4 linked regions of the Xenopus tropicalis genome follow. The protein of the gene in region 3 interacts with the protein of the main gene of each other region in a pairwise test. Links are inferred from orthologs where the notes say so. Each region holds a gene or a part of one and is shown on either strand. Other genes may lie near its edges.

The links.
Region 1: the proteins of sqstm1 (region 3) and dazap2 interact in binary tests that used the Homo sapiens proteins (3 or more experiments, as listed by UniProt). The link is inferred for Xenopus tropicalis from reciprocal best matches to the Homo sapiens genes SQSTM1 and DAZAP2.
Region 2: the proteins of sqstm1 (region 3) and cdc37 interact in binary tests that used the Homo sapiens proteins (3 or more experiments, as listed by UniProt). The link is inferred for Xenopus tropicalis from reciprocal best matches to the Homo sapiens genes SQSTM1 and CDC37.
Region 4: the proteins of sqstm1 (region 3) and snca interact in binary tests that used the Homo sapiens proteins (3 or more experiments, as listed by UniProt). The link is inferred for Xenopus tropicalis from reciprocal best matches to the Homo sapiens genes SQSTM1 and SNCA.

What each region holds. Positions count from the first base shown.
Region 1 is NC_030678.2:142,300,702-142,304,844, reverse strand, and holds the start of dazap2 (DAZ-associated protein 2), read right to left. Parts: upstream 2,801-4,143; 5' UTR 2,764-2,800; coding exon 2,751-2,763; intron 1-2,750. UniProt on the Homo sapiens protein: In unstressed cells, promotes SIAH1-mediated polyubiquitination and degradation of the serine/threonine-protein kinase HIPK2, probably by acting as a loading factor that potentiates complex formation between HIPK2 and ubiquitin ligase SIAH1.
Region 2 is NC_030679.2:137,667,132-137,671,210, forward strand, and holds the start of cdc37 (hsp90 co-chaperone Cdc37), read right to left. Parts: upstream 2,801-4,079; 5' UTR 2,779-2,800; intron 400-2,778; 5' UTR 367-399; coding exon 265-366; intron 1-264. UniProt on the Homo sapiens protein: Co-chaperone that binds to numerous kinases and promotes their interaction with the Hsp90 complex, resulting in stabilization and promotion of their activity. Inhibits HSP90AA1 ATPase activity.
Region 3 is NC_030679.2:22,202,840-22,206,877, forward strand, and holds the start of sqstm1 (sequestosome-1), read right to left. Parts: upstream 2,801-4,038; 5' UTR 2,465-2,800; coding exon 2,275-2,464; intron 923-2,274; exon of another isoform or gene 485-922; intron 1-484. UniProt on the Homo sapiens protein: Molecular adapter required for selective macroautophagy (aggrephagy) by acting as a bridge between polyubiquitinated proteins and autophagosomes.
Region 4 is NC_030677.2:78,431,466-78,435,670, reverse strand, and holds the start of snca (alpha-synuclein), read right to left. Parts: upstream 2,801-4,205; 5' UTR 2,517-2,800; intron 2,115-2,516; exon of another isoform or gene 2,009-2,114; intron 1,969-2,008; exon of another isoform or gene 1,884-1,968; intron 1,551-1,883; 5' UTR 1,526-1,550; coding exon 1,405-1,525; intron 1-1,404. UniProt on the Homo sapiens protein: Neuronal protein that plays several roles in synaptic activity such as regulation of synaptic vesicle trafficking and subsequent neurotransmitter release.

The sequences.
Region 1 (4,143 bases), on a different chromosome or scaffold from region 3:
CAAGATTGCATAACAGAAAAAAATTAGTTTTCACACAAACAGAAATTTTGACAACTGCAAAATTTGGGAAAACTGGAGATAAATATTAATATACCAATTAAAATTCAATTTGGCTTATAATCAGACTCATCTAATCAATTTGACTTGGGATTTGGGAGATGATGGAAAACAATATTTAATCAGCCTAAAGGAAACACAGAGAATCCAATAGTCTTTATAGTCTGCATATGTTTGTGTTGTATTGCTTACCTACCAAGGTTACCAAAATCCTTCAATGATATTCTGGCCTCTGAGTAACTATTTGAACTTTTCAGGTCAGTCACTCAGAGGCCATCATTAAAGAATGCTAGACTTCATGCTTAAAGATTTTGTGGTGTACTTTTTATTTCTAAATTACACTGTTTAGCAAATAATTCACTCTGCCATTTAAAATTTTATTCTTGGATCAACATGTATTTTTTTTAGTTGTAATTCTGGTGTGTAGGCGCCATCTCAGTGCATAGTGTCTCAGTCTGAGCTTTCAGAAGGAGCCAGCGCTACGCATTAGAACTGCTTTCAGGTAACCTATTGTTTCTCATACTCCCATGTAACTGGAGGGGGCCCAACCCGGACTTGGATTTCTTACTATTGAGTGCTATTCTGATACCAACTGGGAGCTGCTATCTTGCTCCCTTCCCATTGTTCTGCTGATCAGCTGCTGGGAGGGGGGTGATATCACTCCAACTTGCAGCTCATTAAGAATATGGCTAGCTCATGGGTGACCAGACCTTTTCCGTCTGTGATCGACGATGACCGGGGAATGCGGAAGTGCAGCGTGAATGCGTACTGCTGCCTCCAGGCATGCCCAGAAGGCTCTCCAGGTCAACTACAGGTAGTCGAATTGAAGAGAGAACTGAACAGGAAGTGGGGGCGGGGCTTTACTCTGCACAAGGAAGCAAAGAAAAACTATCAACTTCTAACTGAGGAACCAGGTCAGAAAGAATGCTGGGACAAAGGTAGGTAATTCTGGAGGCTGTTTAGAGTAATTTTACTGATAGAAAAAAAAGGTTTACTTATTCTTTAACCTAAAGTTATGAACAAAGTAGCACTCTAATTTGCTCAGCAGAAATAATCAAAGATAAAAAGACAAAATACTATTCTTTACCCATAACAAGTTCAAAATAGGCAGAACATTTTTGGTTCTAGACTAGAACAATAAAATCAAAAGCACTGTAAAACTTCAAGTCTCAAGTATGAGATTCTCAAGAATGTCACTCTGAATAGGCAGAAACATTGGGAAGACCTTGAGAATCATTAGAGAACAACCCCCTCTGCAATGAAAAAGTTAAACAAGTATTATGACATTCTTTCATAAAGTCATCCATATAATAATTTATTTGATGCAATCTCCTCTTTTTGCTGCTAAAATGGGCGAGGAATTCCTCTTTGTTAAAACTGCAAATTGTTTTTGCACCTTATCAAATGTATATTTATGAAGCTATTCTGAAGGAGAAGGAAGCTCAACACCCCAAGCAGTGAAGCGATATGGAGTGGCTGATATTTGTCCATGCACAGGTGTGCAGCAGCATTAAATTGGGCACAGTTCCACAATGACAATCTGTGATTCTGGCAAATGCCAGAGGGGCTGCTGTAAGATACCATAGACCAGGAGTCCCCAGCCTTTTTTAAAAGTGAGCCACATTCAAATATAAAAAGAGTAGGGGAGCAACACAAGCACTATGGCTATTTGGTAGTCTCTATGTGGACTGGCAACCTACAGGAGGCTCTGTTTTTTTATGCAATCCAAATTTGACTTCAATCCAAAAATATGCACCTGCTTTGATGCCACTGGAAGCAACAGGGAAGGGGATGGGGAGCAACATGCTGTATGTGAGCCTCTGGGGATCACTGATATAGACAGGCACTATTTATTGGGGGTTGTGTAGGGGGGCTGTTTGGGCCTCTGTGTATTTAAAAAGCCAGGGCCTGGTTTAAATCCCAGTCCAAGTCTGATTAGACAATGTTTCCAGTGCAGTACTAAACTCTACTACAAATGTACTTTGTTACTGGATTACTGCTCTTCAGTAGCAGAGTTCTTGTTAATTCAAGAGTGCCATGCACAAATACCATCAGCCTGAAGCCTGGCATGGTTGATGATAGATTGGTAAATATAGGTTGTAAGTGCTGGATTTACTTGGATGGGTTGGACTTGATGGACTCTGGTGTTTTTTCAACCCTATGTAACTATGGTACTATAGTTGCCGACTGGCCTACTTAGTGATCCATTTGCCACTAAATCCTTTATAAAGCGCTGGAATGGAAGGCAAATGACACGTCCGATGTTCCTTAGCGAGGCACATACACAAGGAGTTACACAATCCCTGCCTTACACGGTCAGAGCGGTGCGCACACAAGCAGGACGGAGCCGGAGCTGGTTACCAAGGTATAAACGTATTCTATAATACGTCCGAATTCCTAATATTTATATATATATATTCACTCGCTCAGTGACTAATAGAGCCCGCCCCTAGAATATACCCACCCAAACCATATACTTCCTAATAATAATAAGCAGAGGGACTCGGTTATAGAGTAAGTCCCAGCAGGGCCCCAAATCACTGGTATCAGTGACATCATAACGCCTTGCAGCAGCAGCAGCTCCGCCAGGTCGCAGTCTCAATCCCAAGGTGCATCCTGATCAGGACAAACAGCCCTAGCAAGCGCAAAGCACAGTGAAGTTGCCGCTGAGCTCCGGAGGGGCCATTACTTGCCTTTATTATTCATTGCCCCGGGTTCACGTCTCTTGCTCGATCTGTATTTTCTCTGTGTTGTTGTGGGAGATGATTCCACTTCCGCTTCTATCTACTTCCTTGTTGTGTTTTTTCACTCTACGCAGATACGAAAGCGCATTCCTGCTGAGCAGCGCCCCCTACCTGCACTTTCATTTTGCGCGGCTTTATTGCAGGCTGCAGCTTTTGGCTTGCCTAAACACGCATTTTGCTTTTCATAGACCCAAGGAATGGTACAACTTATGGTTATAATTAGCCCATTAGGTAACATAGTAGCTGCTTTACTGGAAATGAGTAAAATTTTCTTGCTTTTGTATCAACAGATTTTTACCATTTTGTATTAACACTGGTCTAGGATATCAATTTAGCTCTTTCCCTGTTGTCCAGGTTATGGGCTGTTTGTAAAAAAATTGCATTGTTGGGGAATGCATTTTTCTTGTAAACGTAGGTGCTATGTCATTGGTTGGCTGACACGTTTCTTTTCAGGTAAAGGGAAAGGCTTATGTCCCACGGAGTGGTTTAGTCGCCCACAATAGATCTGTGTTATCGCGGGTGACTGCCCTCTACGAAATGCCTATCCACCAGCCACGCCGGTAGAAAGCCATTGCTTGCATTGCTTCAGTTTTCATAAGTCACACAAAGATGCCTGCTGGAGGAAACTTTGTATGACTTTGGAATACCAAAGCCATGTGAAGGGCTTTTCACAAGCAACTCCTATTGTTGCCAGTGGAAATGCATTTTGGAACAGTTAGTTGCCTGCGATAGCAGAGATCTATTGCAGGTGACTAAACCGCTCAGTGGAACATCAGCCTTAGTCACTAGAGTCAATATATTAATATTACATGCATGCAGTATATAATGGAATTGGTATACATTGGGTAATGTAATAAAGGATGCAAAGTTCATCTGGGTCAATTAACCCATAGCAACCAGTCGGATTCTTGATTTTATATAGCTGACCAGTAAATTCTATCTGCTGATTGGTTGCAGTGGGTCACTAACCTAAAGCAAATTTCGCACCTTTTATTATATTGACCCCTTAACACCCAGATACTGACCCTCACTACTCTATGCTACTATTGGACCTGACAGGAACTGTAGCCCATGCAGTGCTAGAACCTAACTCACAACTCTCCTGTAATTTCTGTGTGTTTCCTTCTTATCATCACCTTTGCAAATAACCCCAATGCACTGGCCTTATTGGCTGGGACTTCTCTCCCCCAGCTGAAAAATTTTTACGTAACAAAGGTGTCTAGGAGCAGCACCTGCTGTAAAAATTGTGAATTTTTTTAAGGTTATTATTTTTCACCTTCACCTACTTAATTTATATTGAGAAAAAATACCCCTTATTGTAAAGGGATATTATAAGTCACTG
Region 2 (4,079 bases), about 120 Mb from region 3:
GTTCTGTAGAATACAATAGTGTTTTATCTGTTATCTGCTATGTGCCTGTGCCTTTTCTCCTTTGAACGGCTGCCTCCATGGCTACAGAGCAGCTTATTTATAGAAATTATAGTAGACTTTCTGAAGTAAACACACAACTTTTACCAGTGCAGGGCAGCAGCACATTATATTTTAGTTTACACTTTCATTTTTTGGTGTTACTGTTCCTTTAAAACATTTTCAATGAGGAAAGGAGAGAGAATCTTCCCCCCTATGTGGCATTACCTGGTGACGCCATCGGAAAAGACTGGCAGTGTCAATGTTGGGATGAGTGTCATCTTCGTCATCAGAAACTTCAATGTGGTCCCACACGCTATAATCCACCATTGTGTAGCAGAGATCAGACAAACAAGAGATTCACTGAAATGAAGGGCATAAAGAAAGACTTGTTTACAAGAATTCAAACATATAAAAGGTCTATATTACTACTTGCTACAGAAGCAGCTCCTGTGTGTCTAGAAAGCCTGATGTATCCATAAGGCCCTAAGCACGATCCTCTTATGTCTTAAGTGTTCATAATTATCTCCAAAATACCTCGACAGAGCCAATGCAATTCCAGCAGTTACTAGTACCTACTGTCATAACTGCTTCTGCCTCATCACTATCAAGGACTGAATCTAGGGCCAAACGGTAATGGAGCCTTTCTAATCTTTTTGTCTCTACAAAATGCATTGAAGGACTATCTGTCCTGTGTTGAATTTCCCCCACTAAAAGCTAATACAGAGGTCTTCAAGCTCCCCCTAACTGGACTTCAGGCTGGGCCCCCTTAGCTCATAACAAGGTTACAGATATATAGAAACATTGGGGTAACAGTCACCCTGCTATAGTTCCAGGGGTACCCAGGGCACAAATAAGCACTCACCCCAAATCTCCCCTAACTGGCCTTCAGGCTGGGCCCCCTTAGCCCATAACAAGGTTACAGATATATAGAAACACTGGGGTAACAGTCACCCTGCTATAGTTCCAGGGGTACCCAGGGCACAAATAAGCACTCACCCCAAATCCCCCCCCTAACTGGCCTTCAGGCTGGGCCCCCTTAGCCCATAACAAGGCTACAGATATATAGAAACATTGGGGTAACAGTCACCCTGCTATAGTTCCAGGGGTACCCAGGGCACAAATAAGCACTCACCCCAAATCCCCCCCTAACTGGCCTTCAGGCTGGGCCCCCTTAGCCCATAACAAGGTTACAGATATATAGAAACATTGGGGTAACAGTCACCCCGCTATAGTTCCAGGGGTACCCAGGGCACAAATAAGCACTCACCCAAATCCCCCCCTAACTGGCCTTCAGGCTGGGCCCCCTTAGCCATAACAAGGTTACAGATATATAGAAACATTGGGGTAACAGTCACCCTGCTATAGTTCCAGGGGTACCCAGGGCACAAATAAGCACTCACCCCAAATCCCCCCCTAACTGGCCTTCAGGCTGGGCCCCCTTAGCCCATAACAAGGTTACAGATATATAGAAACATTGGGGTAACAGTCACCCTGCTATAGTTCCAGGGGTACCCAGGGCACAAATAAGCACTCACCCCAAATCCCCCCCTAACTGGCCTTCAGGCTGGGCCCCCTTAGCCCATAACAAGGTTACAGATATATAGAAACATTGGGGTAACAGTCACCCTGCTATAGTTCCAGGGGTACCCAGGGCACAAATAAGCACTCACCCCAAATCCCCCCCTAACTGGCCTTCAGGCTGGGCCCCCTTAGCCCATAACAAGGTTACAGATATATAGAAATATTGGGGTAACAGTCACCCCACTATAGTTCCAGGGGTACCCAGGGCACAAATAAGCACTCACCCCAAATCCCCCCCTAACTGGCCTTCAGGCTGGGCCCCCTTAGCCCATAACAAGGTTACAGATATATAGAAACATTGGGGTAACAGTCACCCTGCTATAGTTCCAGGGGTACCCAGGGCACAAATAAGCACTCACCCCAAATCCCCCCTAACTGGCCTTCAGGCTGGGCCCCCTTAGCCCATAACAAGGTTACAGATATATAGAAACATTGGGTAACAGTCACCCTGCTATAGTTCCAGGGGTACCCAGGGCACAAATAAGCACTCACCCCAAATCCCCCCCTAACTGGCCTTCAGGCTGGGCCCCCTTAGCCCATAACAAGGTTACAGATATATAGAAACATTGGGGTAACAGTCACCCTGCTATAGTTCCAGGGGTACCCAGGGCACAAATAAGCACTCACCCCAAATCCCCCCCTAACTGGGGGATATATAAAGTTACTTTTCTGTTATGGTGAGTAAATTTCCTGGTATAATTTTGTCTCTACATCCTTCCTGGCAAATCAAAAAAACAACAGTAATGTAATATTTGATGGTTACCCCCCCCCCCCCCCAGATGTGACAGTGCGACCCCCCAACTCCTGCTTTACTTGCCACATGTCAGGGACTAGAATCAGAAACATGGCAGGGATATGGGGGGGGGGGGGGTAGATGAAAATAATATACTGTGCCCCAGCCATTAATGATGATAAAGCCTGGCTCCCAGATATTGTTAGACTACAACTCCCAGTATACTTTAAGTCTGGAGTATATGTTCAATAATTGTGAGAGTTGTAGTACAGCTACCCGGGCAAGAACAGCGCTCACTATACCAGGGAGTATTGCTTAATGCCTTAAACTGTTGCCCAAACAGCCTGTCCGTATAGGTAAATAGGATATAGCAGCACCGCAGGCAGGTATAAGAGAAATAGCCAGCTGTGGGAAGAAGCCATTACCTGGCACACCAGGGTGCAGCTGCAGGCCCCCTCGCAAGCTTCTGGAAAGCTCCTGCACTCTCTGCCTCAGCCTGCCCACTCCATGACATCACTTCCTTAACCTCGACGCGGCTGATTTGCCCTTACGCTAGAGTCTTCGGGCCGACTTCCTTTTTTGCCTATTCCATTCTCCTTGCGTCACTTCCGCCTTTGCTAGACAGGCAGGTTTGTTCTTGCTGCCGTAGGGAGTGGTTTGTGGAGGGGAATTGGAGATAGAAACGGCTTTATAGGATGGTATGCGAAGGGTTTTTCCACAATCAACATTATAGGCGGCCCAAGGGGGAGGAAAACATGAAACAACTGCTTATATTGTGAAAGGGGAACACCATCCGGAATCTGTTTTATTTTAACTTAATTCTAGGCAGCTTTCTGGTATACATACATTAAAAAGAAAAATAAATCATTTTGATATTTTGTGATTTTTGTTCAAAGCAGCGTCTGCCTGGCTGTTACTGTTGTTTGCGCTGCTGGTTCTGACTCCTGAAACAATGTAGCAAAACCAGAGAACAGAAAGGGATATACAAATACTGCTTGTCGTTACAATTGTAAATATAAATCACTTTGAAGCAATATATAATTGGTTTCCATTAGGTATTGGTTGAGGGTCAGTTACCAAATGTGCCTAATTGCCAGGCAAGCAGATCTGTGCTTTAAGGTGGCCATACACGTGCCGATTTTAGCGGCCGATATCGGTCCCTTAAGGTGTCCATACACGTGAAGATCCTACGGGTGGGTGATATCGGGGAACATGTAGGCAAATTTGATCGTTTGGCCCTGGGGCCAATCGAATTATAATGGCAATGGGGCAGTTGGTTCGGGGACTGCATCAACGAGCCGATGCGTTCCCCGATCCAACTAAATCTTTTAACCTGCCCGATCAATATGTGGCCAATGTGAGTCTAGATATCGGTCGGGCGTGCTCCTCGTTCCTGCCCCTACACGGGCCAATAAGCTTCCGAAACAGTCCAAGGGACCGATATTGGCAGCTACAATCGGCCCGTGTATGGGCACCTTTTGACCGATTCGGCAGCTTATTGGCCCGTGTAGGGGCACGAACGACGGGCCTGCATGACCGACATCTGGCCTGAAATCGGGCAGGTTAAAAAATTTTGACGGATCTGGGACCGCATCGGCTCGTTGATGCAGTCCCCAAAATGACTTGCCTATACCCGTCATTATAATTCCGTAGTTTGGCCCCAGGGCCAAATGACCAAATTAGCCTTCTTCAGGCATAAAAACAAGTGCATTGAACTTGATTAAAT
Region 3 (4,038 bases):
CTGGGAATCATTTATTAACACTGGGCAAATGGACAGTAACCCATGACAATTACATTTTTGCTTTCACTGTTCACTGTTTTGGCTGGCTAAATCAGTGATTGGTTGCTATGGACTACTGCCCACGTGCAAATTTGCCAAGTGTTGATAAATGAGCCCTATTATGTTTTGACCTTATTTAGTAACCCAAGGCTACCTGCTACTATCTAGCAGGGAAGATCTGTACCGCTGAAGATGCCTCCCATAGCTCCCCATCTTCTCTGCTGCTAATTCACAGCACATACTCTGGGGGGCTACTGTCATTTGCCTAAGCATAAGGACCCATTCACAATATACATTCTATACATTTAATATAAAAGTTACAATGAAAGTCTAATTAGTAATTAAATGAACTTCACATTAATTACACACAAGTTTAGAAACCAGTGCAACCTGAAACATCAGCTTCTGTAAAAGTTAAACTTAATTTTCTGTTTGATAATTTCAGGCAAAGCTTAATTTCTCAAAAACAGCCAAGAGCACACAGAGCAAGTGCAGTGTCACTGACACTAAACAGATGGCTTAACAAGGTCTAAGATGGTGAGCTGATCTGGAGTCCTGCATAATTCCTGTTGCCTCTGCTGTTACAACAAGTGCAGTATATAAAATACAGCATTTCAAGAGAAATTCGTTTTAGGCTAGGCGTCCTCCTTCAATGTAATACACAGCCTGGCTGAATTCTGATAAGATTGAAAAATGAAGTCTGATCTGCTGAGACTATACATTGGTGACCGTGGGAAGCTACAACCTTTGCACAGTTGCACACTATACTTCCTGTACAGGAGATTGCCTCAATGCTGTGTGAGTTGTTTCTATTATAGGTGCCATGGATCTACCACGTATTTCATTGACTAAACACTGGACAGCTATTATGGTATCTGCTAAGGTAAGGTTTAGATATCGCTCAGATTCTGCTTAATAACTCTTTAGTGCCCTCATCCTAATAACCTGCTTCCCCCAGTTTCAGTCTCTAGCTATTATTAATCAGGTCCTGGCTCGGGAAAGATGTTAACCAGATCCGGCAAGAGTGGAAATTTCCACATGTATAAAAGCCAAGAAACATTGTTATCAGCATAGTTCTGACCTACTGACAATCATCCAAACGTATCACAAAAAATACAATACAAGCCGACAAGTACAAATATATAACACAGACCTTAGACCGACAACCTTTGCCACTCCCCTTGCATAACCAGACAGCACCAACAAAACAAACACACAATGGCCCTTCCCCTTTAGCAGTGATAAAGCACGCAGCCATGTTTTTTTATAAGAAAAATACTTAAGTTGTGTACATAACCCATGCCAGTGCTTGTGTGAGCTGCAACACCCAAATCCTGGGCACACCACGGATCACTAGACAAAATTACTAACTCATCTATTAAGAAATGGTTAGAAAACTGTCTGTTATTCATTATTTAAACATTATATTCATATTGTTTTTCTAAATCAGTTTGTAGTACTAGTTATAGTACTAATATCTGCTAACAACCATCTTATATTTATTAAATGAGTCACCCATGTAGATCAATACACGAGGGTTAGGGCTACCAACAATCCAGTGAGGGCAATGTGGCTTGTGGGCTAGGTGCCTTATGCACAGATTGCCCTACCCACATTCACTGAACTTTCCTTATTATTTGGCCTCAGCGCTGTTTATTCTGCCCTAGGCAATAATATTATGCTGTGATTCACCCTGAAGCCATAACCACACTGAGATATAAACAGAATTAGTAGCTGTAGCACAAGTTTGTGTTGCTACCATCGACTGTACCCGAAGATCGTTCCTATTGTGGGTAGGCTGTGTGTGCGCTGAACAATTATTTGCACATACAAGTGTATAATGTACAGAATTTACCCCAGACACAGGCAACCTGTTGCAACTCACTACATTCTTCCAGCGTATGAGCTACAGAGGGGTGTAGTTCTGCAACACAGAGACTGGAGACTGGTTCTTACTATTATTACACATGATAAACTGGCAGTCATTCAGCATCCCCTGCTGGACATGGTATCTTCCAAGGAGATTATTTGCCCATTAGGGAGGTGGGTTTATCCTCATGCCAAGCCTCATATTACCTTGAAATTGGAAGCAAAGTGCAGGGGATATATATGCCAATATCTGCTGGCAAATATGAATGAAGGTCAGGTTTGAGGTCGGGTAATTATTAATTATATACCCATGTAACAATTATTTGATATAAGCAATTATTAGTATATAATGACTGAGCTTCCCACCTTTGTAGAACATCTGGAAGGCTCCCCCTTTGAGGCCCTGGAACACGCCAGTCACCTTGTTAGCTAGCAGCTCGCAGCTGGACACGGACGCCTTCTCTTTGCCGGCAGCCGGCAGCTCCAGCTGGAAGCGGCGGATCTCCCTGTGACTCTCATCCTTGCCCAGCAGATAGGCTTTCACGGTGACTGGCATGGTGGCACCTTGGGCACCGTATAGGCGGCGATGTCGCAGTTAGGAACAAAACAATGAGCAGAACGACTGCGCAGAAGTTTGTTATTCTGTGACTGACGGCTGAGAGCAGTCCCAGCTTTATTTATACAGCCAGCCTGGAAATCCCCACTCCTCCTTAGTCCACCCTCTACGTCCAATGTATTCCTATTAGTATCAGCCCTTTGGAACTTGCCAGACTCTTCCACTCTGCTAGCCACGCCCACCAACCTTGTGATGTCACCGTGACCTGGCAAAACAAAGGGGGAACTCCACACAGTGAGGGGACTAAAGACTACCAACTGCAGGGCAATATTACATAATAAATGACAGATTCACAGTCCTCTGAACAGTATAAAGTACAGTTTAACTGAAAAGTGTACAATAACCTCTTTTTGTGAATTTAAGGTTTTTATAAGTATAATTAAATATAATTTCTTACTCTATTCTCTGTTTATTCCACTTTTGGGATTGTAACTTCCTACACATAGGGGCACATTTACTAACCCAGGAACGCTCCAAAAGCGTTTTTTTTTCGTTATGATCAGTATTTTTGCGACTTTTTCTGCGCCATCACGACTTTTTCGTATATTCCATGACTTTTCGTCACATTACCGGAATGTTCTTTTGTGTGCAAGTGCACTGATCGAGCCCATGCAGATATGCACTGAAAGATCAAAGTCAGAAAGGTTTTCCCGGCGTTTACGATCGGTCAGTACGAAAAATTTGCAATGATGGCGACGAAAAAGTTCAGAAACTTTCGTTTCCAATCCGAATTTTTGCCGTTCGGGATTCAAATTCATGGAATAGTAAATGTGCCCCATAGTGTCTGTATCTTAATTATGGCGCCAGATGTTGAAAGACTGCAGCTCCCAGAGTGCTTTAAAACTAGACTATATGGTGAAGCGTGCAGGGAGTTATAGTCCAGCAATATATAGGAGCCCAAGCTTTGGAAACATCTAGAACAGTTGCAGATTGGGGTTGCCACCTTTGCTTTCCTATATTTTATTTTATCATTCTCCATTACAGATAACATCAAGCATAAGTTTTGCTGGACAGATGGCAACTCTATTCACAGATGGGTCACTTGCCCAGTTTGAGTTATGGTGAATTTTAACTCAAACATGACAGGAGAATGTAGGGCCAATGCCTTTAATGGTGAATATAATACAGTTGCAGCTTATGTTCCTAAGCAGACTGAGGCCTACTGTGTCGGACTGGCCCACCAGGATACCAGGAAAACTCCCGGTGGGCCGAGGGGTCAGTGGGCCCTTATTCTCCTGACCATTTGGCATACTTCAAGGTCATTTGCTATTTCTGAATGGGAAGAAAGAGGAGAAATAAATGGAAGGATAGATGTAAATAAAAGAGACTAGGAGAATAAAGAGGTTGGGTGAGGAAAGGAGGAAATATAGTTTGGAGAGTGGGCCTAGGGTCCAAGGTTTTCTGGTGGGCCCCTGGGGTCCCAGTCCAACACTGCCTACTGTAGCTGGAACAGCTGCTTACACATGAAATTGGATGGCAGGGCTAACATGGGCATTCAGAAGTTGAATCTGAAC
Region 4 (4,205 bases), on a different chromosome or scaffold from region 3:
GACTATAAATATGTGCACTGTGCAAACTTTATTCTATGTACATATTTTAATTTTAAAGGACACGTGAACCCCCCACAAACATGTAATAAGTAAGCAGCCTCTTTGAAATATTTAACTACATGTCACTCTTGTTGTTAAAAGGTTAATAGTAAGGCTGCAGCATCCCGTTAATCACTTAGGATTCCTTCTTCTTCTGTAACCCACTCAGCCCCCTTCCTCAGGAATATGCTTTGACTGTTGGCTACTGGGCATGCTCAGTTCTTCTCAACTCAGATTACTAGACTCTCCAGTCTAGCAGACAATTAGGAGATGGCATTGCTGGTTCCCATAGAAGCTCTGCTCTAGCTGTCTGCTTCTATTTTTCTCCTAGCCATGTCTTCTGAGCTCAGATTAAACATTAGAGTGCTCAAACCAACCAAAAATGTTTATCAAAGTAAGTTTTGCCTGTGTAAGCCTGCAGTCTCAGTTGCATGAATTTTACAGCATAAAGTTGCTGTTTGCAAATACATCACTAATAATGGCGGGTGGGTGAAAGCTACTATCTGTTTTAGGAAAATAATATGGTGCTGGTGAACTTTGGGGATATATGCAGTACAAATGATGCTGTCTGAGTGAGGGAGATGTACCCAAATTATATACATAATAGGAACATGTAGGGTTTACACAAGAGAACTAAGGACATTTAGTTTTGTGTTATTATTAAAATGTAGTGTACTGGACCACAACTCAGGTCTTTTGTAGGTTTCAGGGGGCAGTGTGTCCCATAATCTTCCCTAGTTGACCTTTCTGGTCTGGTTCCTATGCCTCTTTCCTTTGCCTGAGCACTTGGAGAACTATATTGATGTGTTCACCCTTCTATTTTACAGATCTGTAGAATATATTGAACTATGTTCTTTCTATCCCTCTCCCTAATTTTTTAATTGTCATTATAAAGAGTAGCATTTAAATTTAGTCATTATTTATTTGTATTGTGTAAATTAGATTTGCAATATACCTTCAAAAGAAACAACACTTTGTAAAATCATAATGTAAAGAATATGTGTAACAGGCTACAATGTGATTAGAACTGGGCAATCTATTATCAAGCCTACAGTTTCTGTAGTGGTCTGTCTTGTGGCTTACAAAACTGTACAGTGGGCTATTGCTTCTAAAACAGACATGTATGGGATTTACCACCAAGGAGATCCTCTGTGATCTCCAGGGGTTACAGATCCATTCTGCCATGGACAACTACTGCTACAAACTTCTACACAATAAACAAATGTTAAAGGGTATTTGCATTTGTATTCCAAGGACACGGAAGACAAATGATAGATCCTATTGTGTTTTTTGCAGGGTGATGAAAAATGGAGATAAGGATTGTAATTGAACAGATGACATTATATTGATTAGTTTTTTACCTACCTACGTAGAGAACACCCTCTTTTGTCTTTCCTGCTGCTTCTGCCACTCCCTGTTTGGTTTTTTCTGCAGCTGCCACAACACCCTCTTTAGCTTTAGAAAGCCCTTTCATGAATACATCCATAGCTAATAAATTTATTCTAGTGGCTCTGCAAAAGACAAATGCATACAAACACATTAGGACAGGTCATTTGATTATAGTGTAACTCATTACATTTGAACAGCATCTACAAAATAAAATATCTGTAACTGATTAGTATAGGATTTAAAAAACAATCTCTCGGTGCAACCCTTGTCTATCCTTAATCAGTCCAATCAGCAAGATATGCTATATATATGTATTATATTGCCAAAAATGGATTTCTGAAACATGAAACGCCATTTGTCTAATACTTCTTTACTACATTACAACATGCAACAGAGTATTTCAACAGGACGAGTCGGTCTATGATGGTAGTATTTTACAAAGGTCTGTAACTTACCAAAATATTGTAAATAATAATGCAATAGCTGTTGTCAGGATGAAAAAGCTTTACAATAATTATTTTTAATCCAACAAAAACTTTATTCTTAAGGAAAAAAGATAATCCCTGTTGTTAAAATGTACCTAATTATTTAAGATGTTTGATAGGTGATGAAGATCAAAGTGTATGTATGTCTGTGATTGTGAGAGTCTCTCTTTATACAGATATGTATGAGTGTGTGTGCAAGAATGAATATTTGAGTGTGTTTGTATGCAAGAGTGGTGCTGTGTATGTGTGAGAGAGTTTGTGTGGGGGTGGTTGAGGGAGAGTCAGAGAAAGGGAATGGGAGAGAAACAGACACAATATACCGTACTTCACACAGGCAAAAAGATTAAAGATAAAATTGAGCATTTAACCCACAGAAACCTTCATACTTCCTATTCTCCTTATATAAGACAAACAACCATGTGCATCATTCTCCGTTGCATTAAGGACACAGGTGACAAGCTATCCCGTGAGCAACTGTCAGCTGCTTAAACTAGGTCTGGGTGAAAATGCCAGATAGAACATTTAAAAAAGCTCATAGTGAGCAGAATAAATACACTTAATATCCTACATGGCATGTTATATAGATGTAAATGCAATACTTACATTAACCTTTGCTCCCCAAAATTAGTCCAACAGGAATGATATCTGTGCGTGTATAAACAATAAAAAAGGAATCAAGTCTCTTCTTCAGTACATAACTGCCAAATAAATCCCCTGAGAGGTATGTGCATATGTAACAACCTGATGGAATCAAAGCATTCAAAGCAGGTACCAGAGAAACCACACCTATCAGCTCTTCATAAACAGAAGGAATTTTAGAAGGGGTAAAAAATAAGAGATTAATACTTTTACTCAGTAGGAGCAACCTATGTCCTCCGTATTTTTCTTCCCTTCCCCTACACCCTCCACACCTCCCTCCTCCCGTCTTTCCTTTCCACATGCCTGATTTGTCAGTGTGAAAATTGAATAATCGTAGCCAGCCTCCCCAAGCTGGACCACTTGTAATCCGACTGCTGCTCGAGCAAACAATGAGAACCATTATCAACAGAAATATTTGAGATTAAGAGGTCTGCCTTGCATCGGAAAATTATTGTTCCCGTCACCTTCATTTGTAATGTAGGTGCTGGAAAGCAACAATCAAATCTGCCCACAAAACACCACCAACAAAAAAGAGTAATATCGTCTACTACAGACATGCAAATGATCTGCTACCTTACCCTAGCAGCTGCTGTATGCCTGCTGTGCTGAATTATTTATTGCTAAATATCTGCACTTGCCACAATAAATATTTCTTACAACAAGCTTGCAGTCACTAAGGTGATAGCAGATATGTAACAGGCAAGCATTTAAGCGCTCTCTCCAATTACTAATGACAGTAAGAAGAGAAGAATAACACTAAACAGCTAAAATATTACAAAGCCTTACCAAAACTGAATTCTAGTATTTACTATATTATGTAGATGGTTCCTTTCAACCCAGGGAATTGGTCAGTGGAAGGACAATGTAATTATGCCCTAAATACTCCAATTCATAACTGTAACTAAAGAATGTGGAACCTTTAGATAATTACATTTTGCAGACCCATTCTGGTTACTGGTAATGATAACATCTTATTATCAACCTTATCCACAATAATTCATTCTGACCATTATCCATGCACTGCTATGAAATGCTATAAGATCAGCAACCAGTTTCATTCCTAAAAAACAGGAGTACTATTATTATCATCCCTTATTTACATATTATATATATATATATATATATATATATATATATAGTAGTAAGAAACCAGGAAAACAAATAAATCCCTTGGGAAACTACAACCAAATGGTACCCAGTAGAGAATCAATCTATTTTTCCAACACAGCAAGGCTTCCAAGCTAATTTAAGTGCTCATTTTCTAATCCCCAGGTTACATGTGCAAGAGTGCGACACTTAATGCCTTTTTGCACTTTACACAATGTATTGTGTGTGTGGTACAGTACATAACCCCTTTGTTATTCAAGAAAGCTACAACGACAGAGGAATAATTCACAGAATTGTTCTGAAGATTCTTCTGTTGGAGGAGAGGTGTCTTTTAAAACAATATGCAAAAAGTACAACTAGCACAAGCCCTACTAATTGAACTCATGTTAAACAAGGGGGTATGTTGCTCCTGTACTTCAAAAAAGACATGGCATCTGTCACACAAAAAGCCCATTTCATTTTGTGCATTTGTGATTTGTGTTTTAACACCTAGTTATTCTTATGGTCTTAGTTCTGATCACCACTGTCTTATTTTGCATTCTCTAA